Linked DNA regions of Arabidopsis thaliana. The protein of the gene in region 2 purifies or fractionates together with the protein of the main gene of each other region. This does not show direct contact. Each region holds a gene or a part of one and is shown on either strand. Other genes may lie near its edges. The genes, in order: AXS2, AT3G62510 and AXS1.

Region 1 (8,845 bases), on a different chromosome or scaffold from region 2:
AAAAGGTACTTAACATTACAAGCAACCCAGCTTACTGAAATGAACTATCTCTGGGTTATGTCTTTGTGAACTTGATCTATTGCAATATCTCAGGCATATGAACTTTGTGTCAAGAAAGATTTTTTAAGAGAGCAAGTGTTTGTCCTGGGAAGGATGGGAAATGCAAAACAAGCTCTTGCAGTCATCATAAATAAACTGGGAGATATAGAAGAGGTGATTGTTACTGTGTGTTCAGTAACTGCTCTTTTTTCCGCAACCCCTTGTACACTCTAATTGATGTCTTTCTGACTGGTAATTAATAAAACAAGCTATGGTGGTTGACTTTGATTGATATTCTGCAGGCTGTGGAATTTGTGTCCATGCAGCACGATGATGATCTATGGGAAGAGCTGATTAAACAATGTCTAAACAAGCCTGAGATGGTAAAAGCTGTATTTGTGATGCAAATCACAACACAAACCAGTCTTGATTCTGGGAAACTTGTGTCCATGTAGTACTGTTTCCTTAATCTTCTGTTCTTTTCCACCAATTTTAGGTGGGCTTGCTGTTGGAGCACACAGTTGGCAACCTCGACCCTCTTTACATTGTAAATATGGTCCCAAATGGCTTGGAAATACCTCGGTTAGTTTTAACTATTACCCCTCATTGCTGTTACTCTATTCATGAGTTGGTTCAATCACGTGTTCTTACTTAAATAAACATCGACCCTCATCTATGTGATGCCAAACCTGTTGGTTTACCCAAAGCTAAGTTCGCACACAGAGCATTGGCAGAATCATATGCTTCCTGAACACTTTTCATCAAAATAATGTTCTCCTCATTGTTTCTTCTGCTTTCAGATTAAGGGATCGATTGGTCAAAATCGTAACAGATTACAGAACTGAGACATCTCTTAGACACGGTTGCAATGACATTCTCAAGGTACAAATTTAATGTCACCAATGTCCCTCTAATCATATATATCTGGAACAGACTCCAGGGAATTTGACGTGTGGGGGTTGTTGTACAGACGGATATTGTTAATCTTCTGGTCAAATGCTTCAACGAGGCTAGGCGTGGGGTCTGCCTGAGCCATGAAGACGACGATTCCCGTGCGAAGAGAGAAGACAATAATCGCTCATCATTCTCGCAGAGAATGGTAGTAGATAAATCTTTGAGCATAAAGATGACAGAAGTGAAGTCGAAGACACGGGGGGACACACGGTGTTGTATGTGCTTCGACCCGGTCTCGATAAGAGGGGACACTGTAGTGGTCTTCTTCTGCTGCCATGCTTACCACGAGACGTGCCTCATGGATGCAGCCTTCAGTAACAACAATCACAAGACAACCAAAGGTTCTTCGGGGTATGAATATAGCTACGATAACGGTGTGGATGAGGAGGAAGAGGATGAGGAAGAAGATGAGGATGGTGATGGAGACAGACCTGGGCGGTCGCGTTTACGGTGCATATTATGTACTACTGCCGCCGCTGCGTCCGCTCGGTAGCGACCCCTTTTGTGCATGTGTTTGTGAAGTATTTTTGGTGTGCTTCGAACATATATATATTTTTTTTTAAAGAAGAAAATGTTCATTGTTTGTTCTGTAGTTCTCTAAAATATAGCAAAAAGAGAAAGGCGAGAGATGGAGAAAACATGTGTGCCAGAATTTGTGCCTTTGTATTATTTCCCGATGAGTGGCCAAGTGTTACGATTGAATTGACTTTGAGTTTTTTACAAAGGCCAAGTTTGTTTCTCTTCCTTCTCTTTACGCTTAGTTTCTAAGCCCATACCTGAAACATTTACATTTTTTTTTTTGGCTCCTCTGTCCTCGATCTACAAAAAAATCGTCATTTCCGATAATTCCATTTTCAGTGTACTGCTTCTTGTTGTTTGTCGTTTAGCAGAGAGTAAAATATATGTGACAGCTCTCTTGTTCTTTGATCTTATGATCTTATTTTTGTTTTGGTCGGCGATCTTGTCATCTTTTTTTTTTTTTTTTAAATACATGATAGCTAATTCACCGTTTCCTATGAGTACGTTTTTTTTCTGAAATATAGATTGGGAAACAAATTTTGTAAATAATTTTCTATAAGTGTATGAGCACCTATGCTCTGTTTTTCTTCTTGAGCTGTAATGCTCTGTTTTTGTAGTACTATTTTATTCTATGTTTCTAATAAAAATGTTTAGACGGCAAAAAAAAAAGACAGACCTTAGGCATTTCTAATTAAGGTATATATTCACATAACACAGCAACACGAGCAAAAGCCAAACTAACTCGTTTATTACAACCAGGCAGATATAGAAGTGAAGTGTGGAATCCGCCAAAGATATGTAACATATAAAGAAAGCCCCAATGTTATAGTTTGCACAAACCATTCCCTTTTTAGTTTCGGACAAATACAAGATATAAAGCTTCAAAACAAAGGAATTCAAAAACATTAACAGTAATACTATATAACAAGGAAAACGTAAACTAGAATCAACCACCATGATATATCATTTGTTTAGAATGGCCTAAAATAAGGGAAGAGAAGGTTTCTGTTGGGAGAATTTTTTTTTTAAAAAGAAAGAATGGAATCGTAGCCACCACATGATTTGAGGTGTTTGTAAAGAGAGACGACCTCTAAGATGCGACTGGTTTTGAAGTGGCCTTCTTAATGGCTTCCGCATAAGTCGTGTGCTGGTATGTTAAGGTCGATTCAAGCAAGTCCCAAAGCGACGTCTTCGGGTTCCATCCTAATTATTGTCCACACCAGAGTATTTATTAGAAAAACATTGTGACTGTTAGAAAAGACTAATCAGACAAGAAAAGAGGAAGTTACCAAGTTGACGGTTGATGATGGTCATGTCTGGGATTCTCTTGTCGCTGTCATCATAACCTTCTCCATAAAACTCTTTGGAGCTCACGTCGATCGTTGGACTCTCGATAGCTGTCTCTCCACTCACTTTGGCGTAGACCTGTCCATTTTTTGTTTTGCAACATTTGAGCGTGTGCTATAATAGTTTTATCGAAAATCACTCAGATTCTTATCTATGACCAATTTTTCTCACCTCAGTCATCATTTCAGCAAGTTGTCTCACTGTCACTTCATTGTTTGGGTTGCCTACATTGAAGATATGCCCATTGGCTCTCTCTGGATTTTCCTGGTAAAGAATTCCGCAAGCAATTCAGATGCAACTTCTTTAATAATATAAAAACAAACGATATATCACCAGGGATAAGCAATGAATGAAACTCACGATCATCAAAAGGACAGCTTCGATAGCATCTTTGATGTAGATGAAGGTTCTCTGTGATTCTCCACCATCCACAAGCTTGAGAGGCTCCCGTCGCAGAAGATTCTGAAAATACCCACCAAAAAGTTAAACAAAAAAGTTAAGCTGCAGCCATGAGAAGAACTCAGGTCATTGGACTAAGCCTGTATACTTACGTTACTAAAGCACGCTAGAACCCGTGGGACACCCTCGCTAGGACCATCAATGCCAGGGATGAAATCCATCCTAGGTCCAATCCAGTTGAATGGTCTTACAATGGTGAACTCGAGTCCATTCTCAGCACCCTCAGCTGCAACCAGAAAAAAGTGACGTGAGAAACTTTTTTGTGTCTAGAAACAAAAAATTTCTTTCGTGTAAGAAAACTACATACCGTAAACAAGTCTCTCAATAAGTTGCTTTGCACAAGCATATGACCACCTCTGCTTCTCAATTGAACCAAAGATGCAAGGGGATATATCTTCTTTGAGTACATAAAATTCAGGATCCTGTAGTAAACAAGACGAGCATCATTGGTGAGTAGTGAAATAATAACAAAACACAGAGACAAAAGTAGTAATAAGAACCACGTGACACGAACGAATATCTACTTGACATAAGAAAGTAAGGCAAAAAGTAAAACAAAAGACTCTCATGCAGTAGTTAGGGCTCAAAGCCATACTCAGGTAATTGCAGGAAAACAAACTACATTTTCTCGATATTACAAACACTATTAAAGTGGATAGTGATAGGCTTATTATAACAAGTTTACGTTACTCTTTAGATCAGTAAACAAGACTTCATATAACAACAATAACTGCATTAGTATATAAATTTCCGTATCAATCTTAAGTGAGTGTGCCAATGTACATAATTAACATAGTTTCCTGATCCTCTTGATAACGACAATCAGCAAAAAGTGATGCATAAGACAAATGAAATGATCAGAGTGAAAAAGGGAGAAAAATACTGACCTGACGCAGAGGATGATCCTTTGGAAGAAAGCTTCCTATAGTTTTTCCATACACTTCACAAGTGGAAAAGTGAATCAGACGCTTGTTGTTCTCTGAGCAGTATTTAACCTACATACCAAAACCAATGACCACTCAATGTCACAACTAAAATCCGTATCACATAAAAATATTCCTCAAACTTACAAAATTGCTCCACTAAACCAAACAAACTGCAAAAGCATAAAATACATACCACTGGGAGAGCATCAATGAAATTGCTGTAGATAGTGTCAAGAGGACGCGTATTGTAATCTGCTGGAGTACAGATCGCAGCTAGATTTATCGTCTGCAAAATCCAAAACAACAACAACAGATTAATTAAACAAGACATCCACAATTCGAAATTCGATTTCACATAACGAATCAGATCTGAGTCTTCACATTCAACATTTTCACATTAACGATTTACTAAGAAGAAACGAAGAACAAATACCAGATCTGCCATCTTGATCAGTCCTTCAAGTCTAGAATCATGCTTAATGTTGATACGATGAAACTGGATCCGACCAGCCCATTGAACGGTATCAGGCTCAAGCAAGTGCTTGATCTTATCATTGTAAACATCAAGCGCAAGAACCTTGTGAGGAGTCTCCGTCATAAGCTTCTCACAGAGATGAGAGCCAATGAAACCTCCGGCACCGATCATGCATATCGTCATCGGCTTAATCGGTTTACCGTCCAGATCCAATCTATCGGCTCCGTTCGCCATATTTTGATTGTGTCGGTGAACACGCGTGATCTCTCTCACGCTTCTACAGAGATAACAATGGGTGGAAGAGAGATTTGTGAGAATGGGAGAAAAGAAAGAAAGAAATGAGAGATGGATATTTAAAGGCGTATAATAATGTTCCCTACACTCTCACAGCCTTGCACATTACTCCCACCACGTGAAATTAATGTTTTCGTTACGTGTCATATTCTCTCTTAAGTCAATTATTATGAATCTGCTGATTGTTCACGTGAAATCTATTTTAAAACTAGTAGATTACAACTACAGTATATAGTTTCAATTTTTTTTTGGGTATGTTTGTTGCTTTACACCGACATGTAAAATTGTGCTAATTCGTCGGTGGCCTTAGTGGTAGATAGGAGGTTGATTAAACAGAGAAACGAGAGAAGTGGTGGGTGGGTAAGTAAGAATTAATTAGTGTGATTAAATTACAATAATATAAGCTTACAAAGTCCAACCATAATTGGTGGAGTGAATGCTAAAAGCTACTACAAGAAACGAGCAAAAAGGTGGACAAGGAAGACTACTAGTTGTAACAAGTAATAACTTCTATTAAAACTCTCCGAACCGCTTTCTCTCCATTGTCCTGTGTTTATAACGTCTTTGCTTCGTCCTCCTCTTGATGCTGAAACATTCACCTCCAGAGAACCTGGAATGGAATTTCATTATCTGCATTTGTATTCCAATTTCGTTATTGCTCTGTGGTAAAATAGATAACACACTCACAGTCGTATTCTGCCCATCCAATACGTTGGCGAACTAGATCGTAGACCACCACTTTGTCTTTAAGAACCAAATCTGCAAAGCAATCACTCATTGAGAAAAATAGCTGCACTGTTACAGTTTCACTTGATTGAGTTAACAAACAAGAGTAGTTACCACCAAGAATTGTTATACGACGATGAGACATTCTCTGGAAACCAATGCACCATATTGAACTTCCTGACTGAAATAGCAAAAGAAAAATTATCATATCAAATTTTTCAAACTGTAAACCTTAAGAGAAATCCACACCCAAAACAATCTGTTGAGACATCCTTATAAACCCAACGTCCCAGCCCTCACTAACGGCTCGCTTACAAACCCCTAACACCTCTAATCTGCTAGATACAGTCTTAGGCTAGATATAGTAGACGTATAGCTAAGAGTTGAGCAGCTAAACTTTTTCAAAGCTTATCATTGACACACTAAAAGACAATTTATGAAGTAGTGTAAGTGTATGAATATGCTTACACTAGAAAAAATCTGAAGATATGCACGGGGTCCTAAGACCATTGATGCACCACCAGCAAAGCTCAAACTAACTTGGGGAAAGACATCAACGTCACTGCAACATGGAGATCTTTTTAGCACTTAAGCATAGGAGATAATAGCTTCTTATATATACATACACATGAGAAGAACTTTACCCAGCTGTGATTTCAAAGCATTGGTAACTCTCATAGGTAATGGGACGCCCGTACTGCGAAACAGCATTTGCAACCTGCAGGTTGAACGTTTTATAAATCTTCTTTTTTGTAAGGTCTAATAACATATATCGTCTACATCGAATTGTAATTTCATTCCAAAAATGTAACATTTGAGGACAGATACTTTCAACAATGGCAAAAACTACTGAATATGGTATACACGGTTTGGTGACTGAAAAAGCTGAAGGTGAACTGAGGAAGAAAAAAACACTCACAGCTTGGATGAATGGACTATAAGCTTCGTCGGGAAGATAAGCAAGAGTCGTTCCCGTATCAATTATCGTTCCATCACCAGTGGCTATTGTGAAAACAGATGGATCAATCGGTAATATCTGACCGTTCACAGCAATGCTCTGCAGGTTCACATTATAATGTGGCCTGAAATATTTTTTTGCAGCATATTATCTGAATCAAGACGTGGGTTTATATATTTTGATTTTCCTAACCCAAGATATACGAACTGCATATTATTTCCATAGAGTCAGCTACAAAATGTCTATTTCTGGATCATATGATTCCTACAAGCAGAATGATATAGCAGATATTGTAACAACTCTCGCATTTATATCTGTGTAAATGACTTTCATAATCATCAGTTAAACCCTGGATCTACCTCCTTGTCTTATACAAAAATAAATCTAGGAATCCTACCCTAACATTGAAGTCTGATTCATCATGATGTTAAGTACCCCAAAATCTACCTGTGCTTCTCTTTACGTAATATGATAAGAGTTTAAATGTATAATAGAAAGATTGAGAACTCACTGTGATGGAACAAGAGGAGTATAGACGGTATCTGGCCTCTTGATTTGACCTAGAACCATTATACCTCCACCGCTTTTATCTCCCTTCAGACAATGCGAGAATACTCGTGGCGCGAGTCCTTGCACAGCAAGCTGAGAAATTACTGATAAACTCCCTTGTCCTAACCCAAAGATGCCATCTACTGCTCTTCTAGGCCTCTGTAAATCTCCAGATTGTAAATTGCTACACCTGTTAGCAATATTGAAGACAAGCATCACATATTTTGAAAGTTGAAACAGTACAGAAAAGATGATTTGGAAGTTAGATCATATTGTACTTCCTGGTAGATGTTAATTACTTAAACATAAAACTAATGAGTGTATTTGATAGGCAGAAATATTGTTTCTCATTTGGCCAACATTTTCTCCCCCCCGAAGATGCAGTCATTAGTTAAATTTAGAGAAGGCAATGCACCATACTAAAGAAATCATCATTATCGAAAGGGGATTCCAAATGCAAGATAAAACCTATGGGATATGTACATATATATAAACCCCACGTAAATACACAATTCTTTGCTGTTAGCTTACCCAAAAACAAAGGGAGCAGAGGAATTTATAGCCAAGGTACTGGTAATAACAGTATCAAAGGACATGAAATCTGAGATGTAGTAACCAGAAGTGCCACTTCCATCACCGTACTTAAACGAATAGGAACAGAGATTGTTGGGAGAACAGCCTGATTCTGTCTGGAAATTTGAGTAACATCTCCTGTCTGAACATGAAACTAATGAAGCTGAGGATGACACTCCAGGATCAAAGAAACTTAGTTGAATCTGAAAATCCAAAAAAAAAAAACACAAAATACAGGGAAAACAAGTGATCATTTAGACAAATCATAAAGCTAAAACCAAGACCATGAGGAAAATGTTTTAAAAGCTAATATGCTATAGAGGAAAGTTAGCAAGAAACATACTTGGAGTTCGCTAGTCTTGGGGCAGCCATTGCAGGAAGTGCAGCTAACCCACAAAACATCACTTCCAGTGTCAATTTGAACATTAAATTCTCTTGGTGGTGTCCCAAGTTTAACCTTTGTGTAGTAAAGCCTGTAAATAACAGCAAGATTCTATAAATAGGAATGGGAACAAGAGTCAAATATCTCTAAATTCGTAATTGAACACATGATGAGACAACAGTCTAGAAGGTTCATTTATTTATAATCCAAAATGTTCCCTGATGAAAAACTGCGTCGAATATTGAAGACAAAATCGAATCGCATTACTCAGCCTAACCAGAAACAAATTGGTTAACGACTTAATTCAATTCAATTTTGTTGGGCGAAAAAGTTTTCAAATCCAAGTCCAGAGACAATTCCATGGTTCGAAAAAAGTGAATATTCTATTTTGTACTTTGGAAACCAAAAAATAGAAAGAAAAATTCGAAAATCGGAATCGAAAAAATGCATAAGGAAATGGATAACAACAGTAGTAGTACCCGACGAGAAACGGATCGGAGGCTCCATCAACCGGGAAATTAACAACACCGCCGACAGGAGACTGCAATAACCTTCCATGGCGAGCTGAATCAAAAGCCCTGAGCTCAGTCAGACCAAGTTCATGGTTCGGCGGAATCAATCTCTCCAGCTTGAGAACCGCGTCG
Region 2 (6,585 bases):
ATTTTTTTTTTTAAAGAAGAAAAGAGAGAGAATTGTTCAATTGATGCGCGACGTCGGATTTGATGAAAAGGAAGTTTTCGACTTGGCGCCTACAACTACTTTTGTAGGCCTGAAAATTCACAGTCTTCCCTCATCAGAACACAATATCTTTCTCCTCCTCTTTTGTCTTCCTTCGCCGTCGATTTTAAGGTTTTATCTTCTCCGTAGTGAAAGCACTGATAATTTCTCCAAGGAATTTACGAGGAGGATTTGGTTTGTTTCTCCTGCGTGTTAGAGTTTTACGATTTCTCTGTCGTTTGATTTCTTAATTCTATCCTCTGAGAGAACGAGAATTTGGTTTTCGTTTTCGAATTTAGGGTTGAAGAAGCGGTTTCGCATTGGGTTTGTTGTCTATTGAGCCAATTTGCTAAAGGAATTGAAACGTTGCGAGTTTTTGTTTCCCGGAGGTCCGAAGTGCGAATCTGTTTTGTTTAATGAAATTAGGGGTTTGGAATCGGAATTTGAATAGTCGTTTATGTTGACTACGCGATAATAGCTGAGATAGGACATGATTTTGAAACGGATTTTGACGACATTCGATAATCTGAATCTGAAGCGGTGCAAAATTGATTTAGAAATTGAGTATGGTAGCCAAAAGGGTGAGATTATGGTGTATAAGAAGAGACAACGAGCAAGCGTTGATCAACCATGTAGCAGAGAACCCGGAGTTCTAACAAGTAGCTCAAGCTCCTTGACCAGTAGAGAAGAATCTCAACAAGTGTGCTCTGACCAGTCCAAGTCTTCGCGTGGCAGAGTTCGAGCGGTTCCTTCAAGGTTCAGGGACTCCATTGTTGGTACATGGAAATCCTTGAAGAGTCGCAAGGAAGAGTCGACGGAGACATGTATCTGGGGAAGCTCGAAATTGCATCGAAGCAAAGACCCGAAGCTGTTTCCACGTAAGGATAACGAAGACAGCAGCGAAGTAGATTGCGATTACTGGGATGCTAACTTTGGTATGCCGAAAAAGTCCGACGCCTCGCGTAAGGGCGTGTACAAACCAGAGGAATTTACAGTCGGCGATCTTGTCTGGGCCGGCTGTGGTACAAGCGCCTGATGGGGTCTTGAAACATTGCGTCCCTGGCGCAATACGTGTCATGTTTTTTGGGTACTCTAAATGGAAAAAAATTGTCAATTGTCAAAAAGTCGTGTTAAATATAGATGTATTGTACAGATCTTTGACTTTGAAGTACTTCATTTGCTGATCACAGCCTCATCTTTATCTGTTTTTTTTACACTGTAATTATAGATTGGATGCCGATTGGTGCCTTTGTGCTTGATTCTCGAACTTCACTCCTGACTGAGAGTTTGAGTGGTCGCCTGAAAGTCCCAAAGGAAGGAACCATAGAACGGATGTTACAAAAATGTCTTATTCATGATCTTCAGAAACTTTGTCAACTGCAGGAAAAACTGTAACATATGGCTTATCTCATTTTCCAGATTTACAGCTTGTGCGACCTGTTTGTGACCTCAGTACCTGTGAGGTAAAAGACACTAATCAACTCTAATCTGTTGCTGAAACTTTTGTATTGATCTCTTGCAATAACTAAATTGCAACTAAGAGTGTTTCTGTTTTACTATGTAGGAACAATGCAAACTCTTGATGCTAGGCACATTGAACTCTTCCTTAGTGAAGGCTACAAAGATGGAAGCTGGGACTACAATCTGATTGGATCTCATAAGTTGCAGAAAAACGCAAGTGCAGCTTGTGGAGCCATATTTGACCTCAAACACCATAAAGAATCTTCATCCTCAGGTAACTTCAAATCTTCATTACTGTTATGTTCCTTTACTTCTCCTCTTTGAATCATTCTCCTTTGTCTCATACAAATTTCACATGAAACCTCTATAATAGGTATTCTCAACCTCAAGTCTTGGACCGGACAGCCAGATATTTCCCAACCTAAAGCAGTTATCGCACCCCATGCAGTTGCTGTTCACACAAGATTGCGAGAAAACGAAGGTATATAACTTTGCATCATCAACCATCTTTATCTAGAAAACACAATTACAAATAATTCTCTTGCCAAAAGGAATTGAATCCAAATTTGTTGTTTCAGTTGCGGAAATCCAATCAGTATTGTGGCATTTGCAAGAGAGTATGGCAGCCCTTCAAATGATGGAGATTGGGTGAGAATATATGTGACCATGTTTGGTGAAATACAGACCTGTAAGAAATGATTACATCTATTTAGCTGACTTGATTTGATGTATTAGGTTTATTGTGATGAGTGTGATGTATGGCCGTATGGGTGCGACAATAATTTATATAAGCGCTTTAAGGTACACCTTCATGCATCTTAACTTTTGATTCTAAGTAATGAACACGCTTGTTGAACTATCACACTAATTTGGTTATCATCTTAAGGAACTGGAGCACAACAGTTACTATTGCCCTAACTGTAAAGTCCAGCATGAGCTTATCAATATTAGAAGAACAGAACTCAGTGTTCAAGTATATTGTTAACTTCTCATGTTCTCCTGATTTTATTGTTTGCATTTCTCCATTGCTATAATATGCGAGATTTCCTCACAACCTCTTTGGGATTGGTCTACAGAAAAGGCGACACAGACTGAGCTGCCTGATGAGATTAATGTAGTCTGTAATGGCATGGAAGGAACATATATCAGAGCATTTCATGCGTACGTATTAGATGTCTCAGCCTTATTTCAATTTCTTCATTTAGAAAGGATCTTATTTGTTTATGAATTATGACTATGCAGCACAATATCGTAAATTGATTTTTTCTCTGAAAACGATAAAAAATCCGTGTTTAATCCTAGGTTTCTGTTATCATTGTCTTGTTGTTTTAGAGATTTGACCAACACATTAATCTTTGAACTATTGTTTCAGAATTGAGTGCAAGTGTGGTTCATGTGGGTCAAGGAAGCAGTCACCAAGTGAATGGGAACGGCATACAGGCTGTAGATACTAGATAGCGTAAGAGTGAAAGACACAATGCTACCTCTAGAAAAATGGCTTTGCATGAAGACTTTGATACTATATGTATCTGTATATGTAGAAGAGTATCAGTTTTATCTAAATGACTAGTCTCCAAATTTGTGGTTTATTGATTTCGTCAGAATGGTAGGCTCTTTAACTGATTTAAGGTGAAAACTACATTGGTCTTTGTTCAGTGTTAGATTTGTCTTTTGTGGGTTTGGAATGGATTAAAGAGGAGTCTTTTACTGGATTTTGTTGAATGCTAGATTTGGGTTTAGTAAACAATGAATCCTTTACTGGTTTTGAAGGATGTTATATTTGAAACTGATTAGAGCTAAACCCTCTATTGCTTAGTGGTTCTTAATTTAAGGGTTTTGCCGCAGCTTCCCTAATTTAAGCTTGTTTTCTAATACAAAGTACAAAAGCAGTGTGTTCGTCAACTATCTTCTTACTCTGTTTTCGTTTAGAGAGTTTTTGCAGAGATGAGGAGAACTATAACAATGGTGATAAAGATGTCAATACTTATGATATTGATTTCATCAATGGTGATGAATATGGTCGAGGTTGAGGTTGACCAGATTGAATCATGGGTCAAGGACTTCCAGGTTTCATTCTCTTTTTCACACATTCACACAAGCTTTATGTAAAAGAAGTATATATGAAATCAATATAACCTAACCAAAGAAAATGTTTTCTCTAGGATGGAAAAGCTGCTGTCCACAAAAATTCTCAACCTATTCCAGCTGAGAACAACGAACCAGTGAAGCTTGTTGTCGCCGAGAGCCTTGACGACATAGTTCAGGTCAGCGAGCGGAAACGTTGTAGTATACGAAGGAGACAGGACAAAGGAAGACTTCATAGTTCAGGGTTGGTGATACTAGCAGAAGATGATGAGGAAGAACACGAAAAGATGGATTAGTTAAAGCTTCCAAAAACTGAATCAAAACAATCATTATTACATTAGTTTGTGGTTGTGGATTAGCAATGTTTAAGTAGTTTGATCTATCAATCTCCTGAATTTCTAGATTGCAGATATTTTATCTCATTTTGCTGTCTCACTTGATTCGTGGGTTATATTGCTTAATTTGATTTAAACTCTGTTTTGTGTGGTTACATAGGACTCTGTTTCGCCTGTGTATAGGAAGAGAGTAATGACGTTGAGTGTACAGAGTTGGAGAAGGGTTTCGAGAAAAAATTGTAATTCTTGAATTCGTCTCAGCTTGAGAATAGTGAGTCCATGGACTTTTACCGGATATGAGTTGTACAATGCAGAGACTGATCCCGAACTGAAAGCTGTTATGAGAGGACATGGGAAAAGCCATTGGCTTCGTTTGACCGGAAAGAATTTATGAGTAGTAAGTAGCATATCTAAAGTAAACGCCATGCAAACAAAGAAAACAATGATGAAGATATAAGAGCATCCACATTGGTGGGCTTTTAGCAAATGTTCTTAACAATAATTTTATAATTTATTTTGAAGTTAAGAGTTTTGATAAGAGTTTTTTTTTTTTAAGAGTGTATTTTGTCTCTTATATAAGAGCAAAATCTTAGGCCTGGGCATTTTAACCGAACCGAACCGAACCGACCCGACTCAACCGAACTCAAACCGATCCAAACCAAACCCAATCTAAGACTCAAACAATTCGGTTGTATTTTATCTCAACCCAAATGGGTCGGTTCGGTTCGGTTTTGAACCAAACCGAACCGACAACCCAATGTCTTTATATACTTAATTAATTAATTCTATAAATAATATTACAAATAACTCTAAATATTTATTTATCTCTAACTAAAACTCTAACCCTAAAAAGTAAAAACCTAAGGTTTACTTCTAACTTCGTTTCATTTGTTCTTCCGTCGTCTCTCTCTACTCTCTACAGCCACGGTATGATTTTTAACTACTCTCTAGCAATACAATTACGCTCATCTCAATTTTAGTTAAATATTATGAGTATATGATGATTTTTTCAATCTGTACGTACACCGCAAAGTCATGGAAAAGAAAAATCTGTGTTTGCGTTGTCTTGTTTCTTCTATTTACTTAGATTTTTTAATTTTTAAGAATAGGTTTCATGTAGGTTGGGTGATTTTGTTTGTTTACAATATATATAATATATTTTAGCATTCATACCAATAATCAATGGATTTTCGTGCAAGAAAACAGATCATACATGTTTATTTAGTTTACTAATAATGAAAGATGTTTTAATAGAAACGTAATTGTATTCTTTCAATTGACTAACAATTTTATACATGTTTTGTTTGTAGATGTCTAAAAGAAACACGACTAGCAATAAAAGAAAAGAACCCGAGTCTCCAACAGTGTCGCCAAAGGCAAAAAGAAAACTACCTACAAGATCAACAGCATGGAAAGTCTTTACGAGGTTGAAAGATGATGATAATAGTTGCTCATGCAATTATTGTGGTAAAATCTATTCATGTAATCCTGCTACATGTGGAACCAGCAATATGAACACACACATGAGAAAGTGCAAAGCTTATTTGGATCATCTTGAATCTAATTCTCAGAATGTCATAGTCTCTAGTGGTGGTGGTAATGGTGCTGGCATGATAAAACCTTTTGATCAAAACGTGTGTAGGCAAGCAACGGTGAAAATGATTATCATGGACGAGTTGTCGTTTTCTTTTGTGGAGAATGATGGGTTTAAACATTTTTGTGAGATGGCTGTCCCTTGGTTTACTATTCCATCGCGAAGAACAATTACTAGGGATGTTGTTGGTCTGTACAGAGCTGAAAAAACTGCATTGAAGACTATTTTAAGTCGTAATAGGCAGGCCATGTCGTTTACCACTGACATATGGACTTCTATTACGACATTGAGTTATATGGTCGTTACTGCTCATTTTATTGACATGGATTGGCAATTGCATAGAAGAATTATTAGTTTTAGTCCTATTCCTGATCATAAGGGAAAGACCATCGCCAATCAGTTTTTAAGATCTTTGGATGATTGGGGTATTGAGAAAGTATTTTCTATCACTGTGGATAACGCAAGCGCCAATGATAAAGCTAATACTGTTTTGAAAGAGAGGCTAAGTAACAGAAATAGTGATGCTTTGATGATGAATGGTGATTTTATGCACATACGTTGTGGTGCACACATTCTTAACTTGATTGCCAATGAAGGTCTTGAAGATATAAGTAATAGCATCGTAAGTGTTCGTAATGCTGTAAAATATGTGAGGACTTCTAATTCAAGGCTGGAATCATTTAAGCGTTGGGTGGAGGTTGAGAAGATAACAAGAGGAAGTGTGGTATTGGATTGTGTTACTAGGTGGAATTCTACCTACTTGATGTTGAAAAGTGCACTTAAGTATAAAGTTGCATTTGATAGGATGGCTGATATGGATAAACCTTATGATGCATGGTTCAAAGAGGTTGATTCTAATAAAAAGAAGAGGGACGGACCTCCAATGGCAATTGATTGGGACAATGCTCGTCATATGGTAAGGTTCTTGAAAGCTTTCTATGATTCGACTTTAGCATTCTCTTCTTCTATAAAGGTGACGTCAAATGGTTGTTACAATGAGATCTGCAAAATTCAGTCAAGTGTGCAAAAAATGGCTTTTAGCCAAGATTCTGA
Region 3 (8,352 bases), on a different chromosome or scaffold from region 2:
TAATTTTTCCTTTTTAGATACAAACGAGTTTGGAACGTGGTACGTATATGAACAGTCCATAACATAACGTGCCAAATAGAATAATCGATTTTGGCCGAATTAAGTTCATGGATGGTTACGATTGAGGTGTAAGTCGTAAAGCGGTTTTGGTAGAAAATCTTGTGGATTCGATTGGAGGATCAAGAGTATAGTCAAGACATTGAAATTGCATTAGAATTGTTCAAGAAATATACTAGAATGAAATAAAGTAAAATGAATTCTTTTATCTTCATGGGCTAGTACCTAGTAATACCAAAAGAAATGGTATTTTTGGAGAAATTAGAAATTGATCGTGTGCCATTTAGTTAAAGGAAGAAATACCAATTTTTCCAATCCAGTTTCAGGCCAATCCAACCCATTTTTAAAATTCTTAAATCTTTATTGTAGAACATGGTTTTATGTTGATCAAATAGTGGTGTCCGTATAACTTTTAAGTGATTTGCAATCATATTTGGGCTATATCTAAACCTGAGACTTTGAGCCGACCGGTTTATTCGATTTCGGTTTGTCAGTTTTGCAGATTATTCAGAAAACAAAACCTATCCCGAATCAAACTTATTCCACATTATTCAGTTCGTTCGATTCGGACACTCATATATATATATATATATTTTTATTGTTTTCTCCTTTTATTTGTTTGCATCTAACTAGTGTTCTTAATTTTCCTTTTCCATAAGAAAAAACTAGGAGTATGTTTAGTTGTATTTGTAATCTTTGGTATCATTTAGGTGTAACTTGGGATTTGGGAAAAATACATGATTCAAGTTTGGTTGGAACGTGTTGTATGATAATGAAGAAGCACTGAAGCATTGATCAGTCAAAATGCTCGGGAAAAGGATGATTATATGAATGTTGTTGCATAGGGTACAACTTTGTGATAAGAAACAAACAACCTCGCATTGTATTATTTATTGTATAGCGAGTAGGAAGTAGTACTATACGATACTTCTTCCTATAAAGTTATATATTTATAAAGGTATAAATAAATATATACCTACGAAAAGAAAAAGTAATTAAATTTGTAAATGGATTTGTGCAAAATCCAAATTTTAAAGAAAGGTATGGTTAGGATATTTGATGAGAGTTTCGAGGGTTTTGCTTCTCGGAAAGGTACCTAATTATTCATCATTTTTTCTCTTCTTTTTTTGTCTCAATCCTTTTTTGAAAAGACCAAAAAAAAAAAGCAACGAGAAATTAGCATCTTTTTTTCATCATATGTGTATGTATATCAATGATCGAACGGTCGTCAGCTCACTGTGAGGCAACACATGAATCCAATTAGTTCTCAAAATTTATCCATTATCCACAATTCCACATAATGGTTAGCGATATTCATATAAACTCTCTTCATAATGATTTTTTTGTTGAAAAAACTTCTGATACTACGACATGCAAATTAGAAGCAGTATTAAGAAACTTACTTTTTTTTTTGACACACTATTTAAGAAACTACTTAAGAGTTAAGAGTTAAGACTGAAGCTTAATTAAAATAACGTCAATAAAATCATATTTTGTTTAAATTATTTCCCTTTTTGGGCAAATAATTAAATTATTTCCTAACCAGTTTAAGTTTCGTAATGCAAAATGGAATCTCTAATGTTGCTGGGTCAAGTTTTCTTCTACGTAGAAAAGACTTTTTGTATTGATTCCCCAAAGCCATTCTTCTCAATGTAAATTTGATTTTATCAGAAATAATAACCCAAAAAAAATACTCCAAATGTCTTTTCAATATAAAAATTAATAATTTGACTTGATATCAATCGGAAATTACAAGAGAGTATGGGAAGTCGTGGTACCGGAGAGAGTGCGGCTCTTCCTATGGCTTGGAATGCAGCAAGTTCTGATGACGAATGCTGAGAGGAGGAGGAGGCATCTAAGTGATTCGGACATTTGCCAAATCTGTAAAGGAGCTGAAAAAACAATCATACATATTCTTCGTGATTGTCCTGCTATGGAAGGCATTTGGATCCGCTTAGTTCCTGCGGGTAAGCGCCGAGAGTTCTTTACACAATCGTTATTGGAGTGGTTGTTTGCTAATCTGGGTGATAGGCGGAAGACTTGTGAGAGTACTTGGTCAACTTTATTTGCTTTGTCTATTTGGTGGGCCTGGAAATGGCGGTGTGGCAACATTTTTGGTGTTCAAGACAAATGTCGAGATCGGGTGCGTTTCTTAAAGGATCTGGCTAGGGAGACGTCCATGGCTCATGTGATAGTCAGGACACTGAGTGGGGGTCATGGAGAACGGGTGGAAAGACTGATCGCGTGGTCGAAACCCGAGGAAGGTTGGTGGAAACTTAATACGGATGGGGCTTCCAGAGGTAATCCGGGTTTAGCGTCTGCTGGTGGTGTGCTACGAGATGAGGAAGGAGCTTGGAGAGGAGGTTTTGCTCTGAACATTGGAGTTTGTTCAGCACCTTTGGCAGAGCTATGGGGAGTGTACTATGGCCTCTACATTGCTTGGGAGCGACGAGTCACACGGTTAGAGATTGAGGTGGACTCAGAGATTGTTGTGGGTTTTTTGAAGATAGGGATAAACGAGGTACATCCGCTGTCTTTCCTGGTACGATTGTGCCATGACTTCATATCAAGGGACTGGAGAGTCCGTATTTCACACGTTTATAGGGAAGCTAACCGTCTTGCTGACGGGTTAGCCAACTATGCATTTTCGTTACCATTAGGTTTTCATTCTCTTAGTTTGGTTCCGGATTCTTTACGTTTTATTTTGTTGGATGACACTAGTGGAGCTACGGTTTCACGTCAAGTGCGAATGTAATTTTCTTTTTCATTAATAAATCTTGGGAGACTTTGTCTCCCTTGGCTTACCCAAAAAAAAAAATCGAAAGTTACAAAGAACGATTTATCTAGTTAAAAAGAAGTTTTTTCTTAACTCTTAAACACAATTATTAGACTACTAAACATTCATAATTAATAATCATACAAAATGATTAGTCGAACAAATAAAATATCGCATCCTTTCCAATTTAAACGAGATCACGTGGAAGCGAGTACACACCACGCGCCGATACAGAGAGTGAGATTTCAAAATTCGACGAACCAATTTGCCTCCGTTCACATGCGATGCATCTTCTCTCTTAAATATCCACCGTCACCACTCTCTCTTCCTCTTTAGATTCTCTCTCTACAGAGAACTTGATTATTTTTTCTGATCTGAGAAAAAAAATGGCGAATGGAGCTAATAGAGTGGATCTCGACGGGAAACCGATACAACCGTTGACAATATGCATGATCGGCGCCGGAGGTTTCATCGGTTCACATCTCTGTGAAAAGCTCTTGACCGAGACGCCACATAAGGTGCTTGCGCTCGATGTTTACAACGATAAGATCAAACACTTGCTTGAGCCTGATACCGTTGAATGGAGTGGTCGGATCCAGTTTCATCGTATCAATATTAAGCATGATTCGAGACTTGAAGGTCTTGTTAAGATGGCGGATCTGGTAAAAATGCTTATCGATTTCGTTTTTTGATCTCTTGTTCTTCGGTGTTTATGATAGAAGTCTCAGATCTGATTCGTTATCGGAATTCAGATGTTTCGCAATGTATTGAGATCGGTGATGTTGTGATGTAATTCTGATGTTTCTTTTTGGATTCGCAGATTATAAATCTTGCTGCGATCTGTACTCCAGCTGATTACAATACACGTCCTCTTGATACTATCTACAGCAATTTCATTGATGCGCTTCCAGTTGTATGTGTTTTCTTCTTAGCTTCGTTCATTGTTTTGCTTTAGCTCTTGTTTTTGAAGTTGATGGAGACAGTGATGATTGTGTAATGCGTTGGTTTTGTTAGGTGAAATACTGTTCTGAGAACAACAAGCGTCTCATTCACTTTTCTACCTGTGAAGTTTATGGAAAAACCATTGGAAGCTTTCTTCCTAAGGATCATCCTCTGCGTGATGTAATGCCTTTTTGTACATTTCGCTTTCCACATGTTATTGTCTTTTTATCAATCTCATCGATGAATGTACTGAGGAACATGTTGAAGCTGACGTTTTCGTTCGTTTTAATAGCCACATTATGAATTACTCATTGGATCTCGTTAAACGTATTTTTGAATTGAATTAAGACTTTAGTCCGCTAGTCTATCACACACCCATAGAAGCTTGGAATAGTTGATATTATTCGTCTAAGGTTGGGTTCACTGTTTACTGATGTTGTTTGTTGTGCCTTTCTACAGGATCCTGCTTTCTATGTTCTTAAAGAAGATATTTCCCCTTGCATATTTGGTTCAATTGAGAAGCAGAGGTGGTCATATGCGTGTGCAAAGCAACTGATTGAGAGACTTGTTTACGGTAAGCATTTCTGTTTAAGATGATGTTGGTAAAAACAAAAGGTTTACACTTAACTTCACTTGTTTCTTGTGACAGCTGAGGGTGCTGAGAATGGGCTTGAGTTCACCATCGTACGACCTTTTAACTGGATTGGACCTAGGATGGATTTCATCCCCGGCATTGATGGTCCTAGCGAAGGTGTCCCACGTGTCCTTGCCTGCTTTAGTAACGTAAGTGTTCAAATCCAAGTATATAACCCAATGCTAGTCTGTGTATATATGCAAGCTTTTAGTTAATGCATCTCTATCTATCTTTCAGAATCTTCTACGTCGTGAGCCTCTCAAGCTTGTAGATGGTGGAGAATCACAGAGAACTTTCGTCTACATCAATGATGCTATTGAAGCTGTCCTTTTGATGATTGTACGTTCCATTGCCTGATATATAGCTTTTTGTTTACAAACTGTTAATGTTAGAAGTTCGAAGTAGTTTCAACTAAAACCTATAATGACATTGTATGTTTGTGGTTCAGGAAAACCCAGAGAGGGCAAATGGGCACATCTTCAACGTAGGCAACCCGAACAACGAAGTTACAGTAAGACAGCTCGCTGAAATGATGACCGAGGTGAGGAAGATGGATCAGTTAGGAAACTATGAAAATAGTTTGATTTCTCTGTCGCTGGTTCTCAATTCTCAAAACGAATCATGTTTCAGGTTTACGCAAAAGTGAGTGGAGAAGGAGCCATTGAGAGCCCAACGGTTGATGTTAGCTCCAAAGAGTTTTACGGGGAAGGTTATGATGACAGTGACAAGAGAATCCCAGACATGACCATCATTAACCGCCAACTCGGTAATTCTTCATAATCACCAACATGATAGATAATATGCTTTAAAATCAAAATCAATTGCTATTCTGATAGAATTTTGGACTTTGAAAATAGGATGGAACCCGAAAACATCGCTATGGGACTTGCTCGAGTCGACCTTAACCTACCAGCACAGGACATACGCTGAAGCTGTGAAGAAGGCAACATCCAAACCAGTGGCTTCCTAAACTCTCCAAGACCCCAACGAAACTCGTTAAACACGCGTCATTTTGGCATTTTACTCTATTCGATTCTATTTTTTTCATCCCAGAGAAAACTTTTTTTCTTTTTTCTTTTTAAGAAAACGATATAATCACGGTGGTTCGTTCCAAGTATACCTTTTCGTTTGTAAGTTTTCTCTTTTTGTTTGGTTTGTTTGGCCATGTATGTCGGAGCTGTCAGAAAGCAAGAGGTTAATCGTTTGTAGCGAATGATAAATGTTCGAGTGTATATTTTAAAATGCTTCGTTTTACATGTGTACAAGTACAAGAACAAATGTAATTATCTTCTGTCAAGTAACACATTGTGTTTCGTTCAGAAAAAAAACAAGTGGACTACAGAGTATGAAAGAAAGTCTAGTAGTTTTGGAACGCTCGACAATTAAATTCGATTTTATTTTTAAATTGTAATATATAAATCACAAGTAGCGTCTGTAGTCCAACGGTTAGGATAATTGCCTTCCAAGCAATAGACCCGGGTTCGACTCCCGGCAGACGCATTATCATTATTTTTATATTTTGAATTGTTTTCACTGAATTTTTAATTCAATGAAGGCAAAGCAAACTAGAAGAAAATGAGTCTTTTTTTCTTTCTTTCTAACTCATGTACATAAAATACATTGTTAGAGCATATTCTAGTTCAACTATTTCTGATTTAATATACTCCATCTACTTAGTATTGCGATCAAGATTAGATCATAACATATCGACATTGTATAGTACTTATCATGAATCAGCCAGCAACTTCGAAATTTTATGAACTTGAAAAGAGCAAAAATCATATTTCATTTAAACCCATTAACACTCCAAAATGACAACATAACATATATTATAATAATCCAAAAATTTTAAGATGCCAAAAGCCTCATAAGTCACTCAACGATTCACCAATACAGTCAAGTAAAAATTTCTATTGGAAAAATGTGACTTGGTGTGCAAATATCTTCTACTTTTTGCAAGAGGGACCACAAGGGAATGGGCATCTCTTCTTCCCTCCTGCACCAAAATGGTTTTAAACCAAATCAATAATCCACAATTCTCATCTCATATGCAAAGTTATCTTTATATATCTTAACTTTAGTTTTCGTTACCTGATGACTTGTTCTTCTTTCCACCTTTAGCTATCTCAAATGCACCATTTGGCATCTTTTTGCTCGGAGGAGCCACCTTTAAAGGTGCTTCAGCCTCTACATCTTCTTCATCTGAAGAGTCATCATCCTCGTCCAAACCCATCTAACCAAACATACAGAAAAAAACAACAAGATTACCTTTTTTTTTATACTGATTCATTGCTAATCAGTAAATACTTAAAAGAAAAATCTACCTCATCTGAGTCGGATTCATCATCTTCTTCAGGATTGATCTCATTTTGAGGCAAAGCAGCTTTTCAACAATGTCAAAGTTAGATTTCATAAGAGATACACATGTAAATATGACTACCACAAAGCAGTAGCTTAGTAAAAAAAGTAAACATACCAATTTGTTGTTCCATATATTCATCTAACTCAGAATCTACACAAACCAAAAAGCAAAAGATTAGCTTCAAGCTTCATAATAGAGTAAACCAAATCATCAACTAAAGAATTATAAACTCACCAGAATCAATCTCCTCATCCGTGAGCATCAGAAAAAAGCAGAGCAAAACAAAATCAAGGATAAACAAACAAAGCTTCAAAATTGCAAGTGAGTATGAATTTAACTAGAAAAAGACAATGAAAGAAAGGATATAGTTCGTCAAAAGCATCAAAGGTCCTGTAACCAATAAGATAGACACTGCTTGTACTGTTGTGAGAAATCTCAAACTCGTGCCCTAAGTAGAGATCAATAGAAAATTGAGGAAACTTCTGTGAGAGATTTCCAATCATAAACCCATTCTCATCATCACCAATCTTCACATAAACGGCAAAAGTCTCATCTTTTTTAACCTTCTCAACGTCACCAAGGGTAACCTAAGAGATGTTACAACAAGTAACACAATCAATATCAATCATGGATTTACACAAAGAGAGAAACTTGCAGGAATTACAAAACTGATACAGACCTGAGAGGCATGGACCATGAATCCATCTTTTTGTATCACCTTAAATGGCTTCCCTGGCTTAATCTCGATACCTAAAATTGAACATTATTCATCACACATTTGAGTACAAATTCATACAAAATCTCACAAAGATAGATGCTTTGACACCTAAACTCACAAAGATATAGATACTTTGACACCTAAACTCACAAAGATAGATGCTTTGAAACATAAACTCTTAAAGATAGATACTTTGAAACATAACCTCACAAAGATAGATGCATTGAAACCTAAACACTAAGAATGCTAATATTCCCAAACAATTGTATAGTTTTGAACACAAGAAAATGCGTATTGAGTAATAGAGAGAATTCAATACAGAAGAAAGGCAAGCTTTTGTATAAAGACCAGATTTTTAATCACAGAACGAACTTAGGAATACCAAAATGATTAACTTTAATGGCGAAAACAGTCAATAGGAGTCATTGAGGTATTCAGTAGAACTTAATAAAGATATGATTTTGAGAGAGACATACCCCAAAACTCCATAGCTAGTGAAAGAGGAAGATGTGGCTGCTTGAGAAGAAGAATTTAGGGTTTTAGAGTTTGTTTCAAACAAACAAAAATAATGGAGCGGCTTATTTATAAGGTTACTCTTACTACTCCTTTAAACTTCCTTTTCACAGGTAGGGTTTTTAGTTACTTCTTTTGGAATAGTATATTAATGGGCCTTATTTTTAGTGGGCTTATTTTGAATCGGCCTTATTTGATGGGTTTTAGATATATTTTAATTTTATAGCCATGTCATAAGAGTTGCCTATGATTTGGGTAATTAACTTTGCTTCAATGATCAAAGAGAAAGAATGTTGATTAAACAAATAAGAGAAGGAAGAGCAACACGGCATCAAATTGGTTTACTCAAA

The links.
Region 1: the proteins of AT3G62510 (region 2) and AXS2 fractionate together in Arabidopsis thaliana (co-fractionation; one large-scale study listed by BioGRID). This does not show direct contact.
Region 3: the proteins of AT3G62510 (region 2) and AXS1 fractionate together in Arabidopsis thaliana (co-fractionation; one large-scale study listed by BioGRID). This does not show direct contact.

What each region holds. Positions count from the first base shown.
Region 1 is NC_003070.9:2,571,657-2,580,501, forward strand, and holds AXS2 (UDP-D-apiose/UDP-D-xylose synthase 2), read right to left. Parts: upstream 5,189-8,845; 5' UTR 4,954-5,188; coding exon 4,678-4,953; intron 4,531-4,677; coding exon 4,438-4,530; intron 4,314-4,437; coding exon 4,206-4,313; intron 3,741-4,205; coding exon 3,626-3,740; intron 3,545-3,625; coding exon 3,411-3,544; intron 3,322-3,410; coding exon 3,220-3,321; intron 3,124-3,219; coding exon 3,031-3,123; intron 2,938-3,030; coding exon 2,802-2,937; intron 2,716-2,801; coding exon 2,603-2,715; 3' UTR 2,162-2,602; downstream 1-2,161. Other genes in the region: VPS41 (vacuolar protein sorting 41), read left to right, coding at 1-5, 94-213, 342-422, 536-621, 840-921, 1,010-1,486; AT1G08210 (Eukaryotic aspartyl protease family protein), read right to left, coding at 5,463-5,623, 5,701-5,772, 5,854-5,920, 6,208-6,301, 6,384-6,457, 6,659-6,821, 7,209-7,436, 7,778-8,022 and 2 more. UniProt on the Arabidopsis thaliana protein: Together with AXS1, catalyzes the conversion of UDP-D-glucuronate into a mixture of UDP-D-apiose (UDP-Api) as the main product and UDP-D-xylose to a lesser extent, via a cycle of oxidation and reduction.
Region 2 is NC_003074.8:23,119,876-23,126,460, forward strand, and holds AT3G62510 (disulfide isomerase-like protein), read left to right. Parts: upstream 1-2,955; 5' UTR 2,956-2,977; exon of another isoform or gene 2,978-3,313; intron 3,314-3,460; 5' UTR 3,461-3,462; coding exon 3,463-3,585; intron 3,586-3,680; coding exon 3,681-3,899; 3' UTR 3,900-3,916; downstream 3,917-6,585. Other genes in the region: AT3G62499 (YTH family protein), read left to right, coding at 44-274; AT3G62500 (F-box protein RMF), read left to right, coding at 548-1,079, 1,286-1,402, 1,477-1,509, 1,622-1,792, 1,892-1,999, 2,097-2,166, 2,254-2,319, 2,405-2,491 and 1 more.
Region 3 is NC_003071.7:11,861,711-11,870,062, reverse strand, and holds AXS1 (UDP-D-apiose/UDP-D-xylose synthase 1), read left to right. Parts: upstream 1-3,064; 5' UTR 3,065-3,219; coding exon 3,220-3,495; intron 3,496-3,653; coding exon 3,654-3,746; intron 3,747-3,847; coding exon 3,848-3,955; intron 3,956-4,234; coding exon 4,235-4,349; intron 4,350-4,424; coding exon 4,425-4,558; intron 4,559-4,646; coding exon 4,647-4,748; intron 4,749-4,857; coding exon 4,858-4,950; intron 4,951-5,039; coding exon 5,040-5,175; intron 5,176-5,266; coding exon 5,267-5,379; 3' UTR 5,380-5,786; downstream 5,787-8,352. Other genes in the region: HDT4 (histone deacetylase-related / HD-like protein), read right to left, coding at 6,356-6,405, 6,501-6,642, 6,734-6,792, 6,886-6,921, 7,006-7,025, 7,138-7,358, 7,451-7,521, 7,966-7,978. UniProt on the Arabidopsis thaliana protein: Together with AXS2, catalyzes the conversion of UDP-D-glucuronate into a mixture of UDP-D-apiose (UDP-Api) as the main product and UDP-D-xylose to a lesser extent, via a cycle of oxidation and reduction.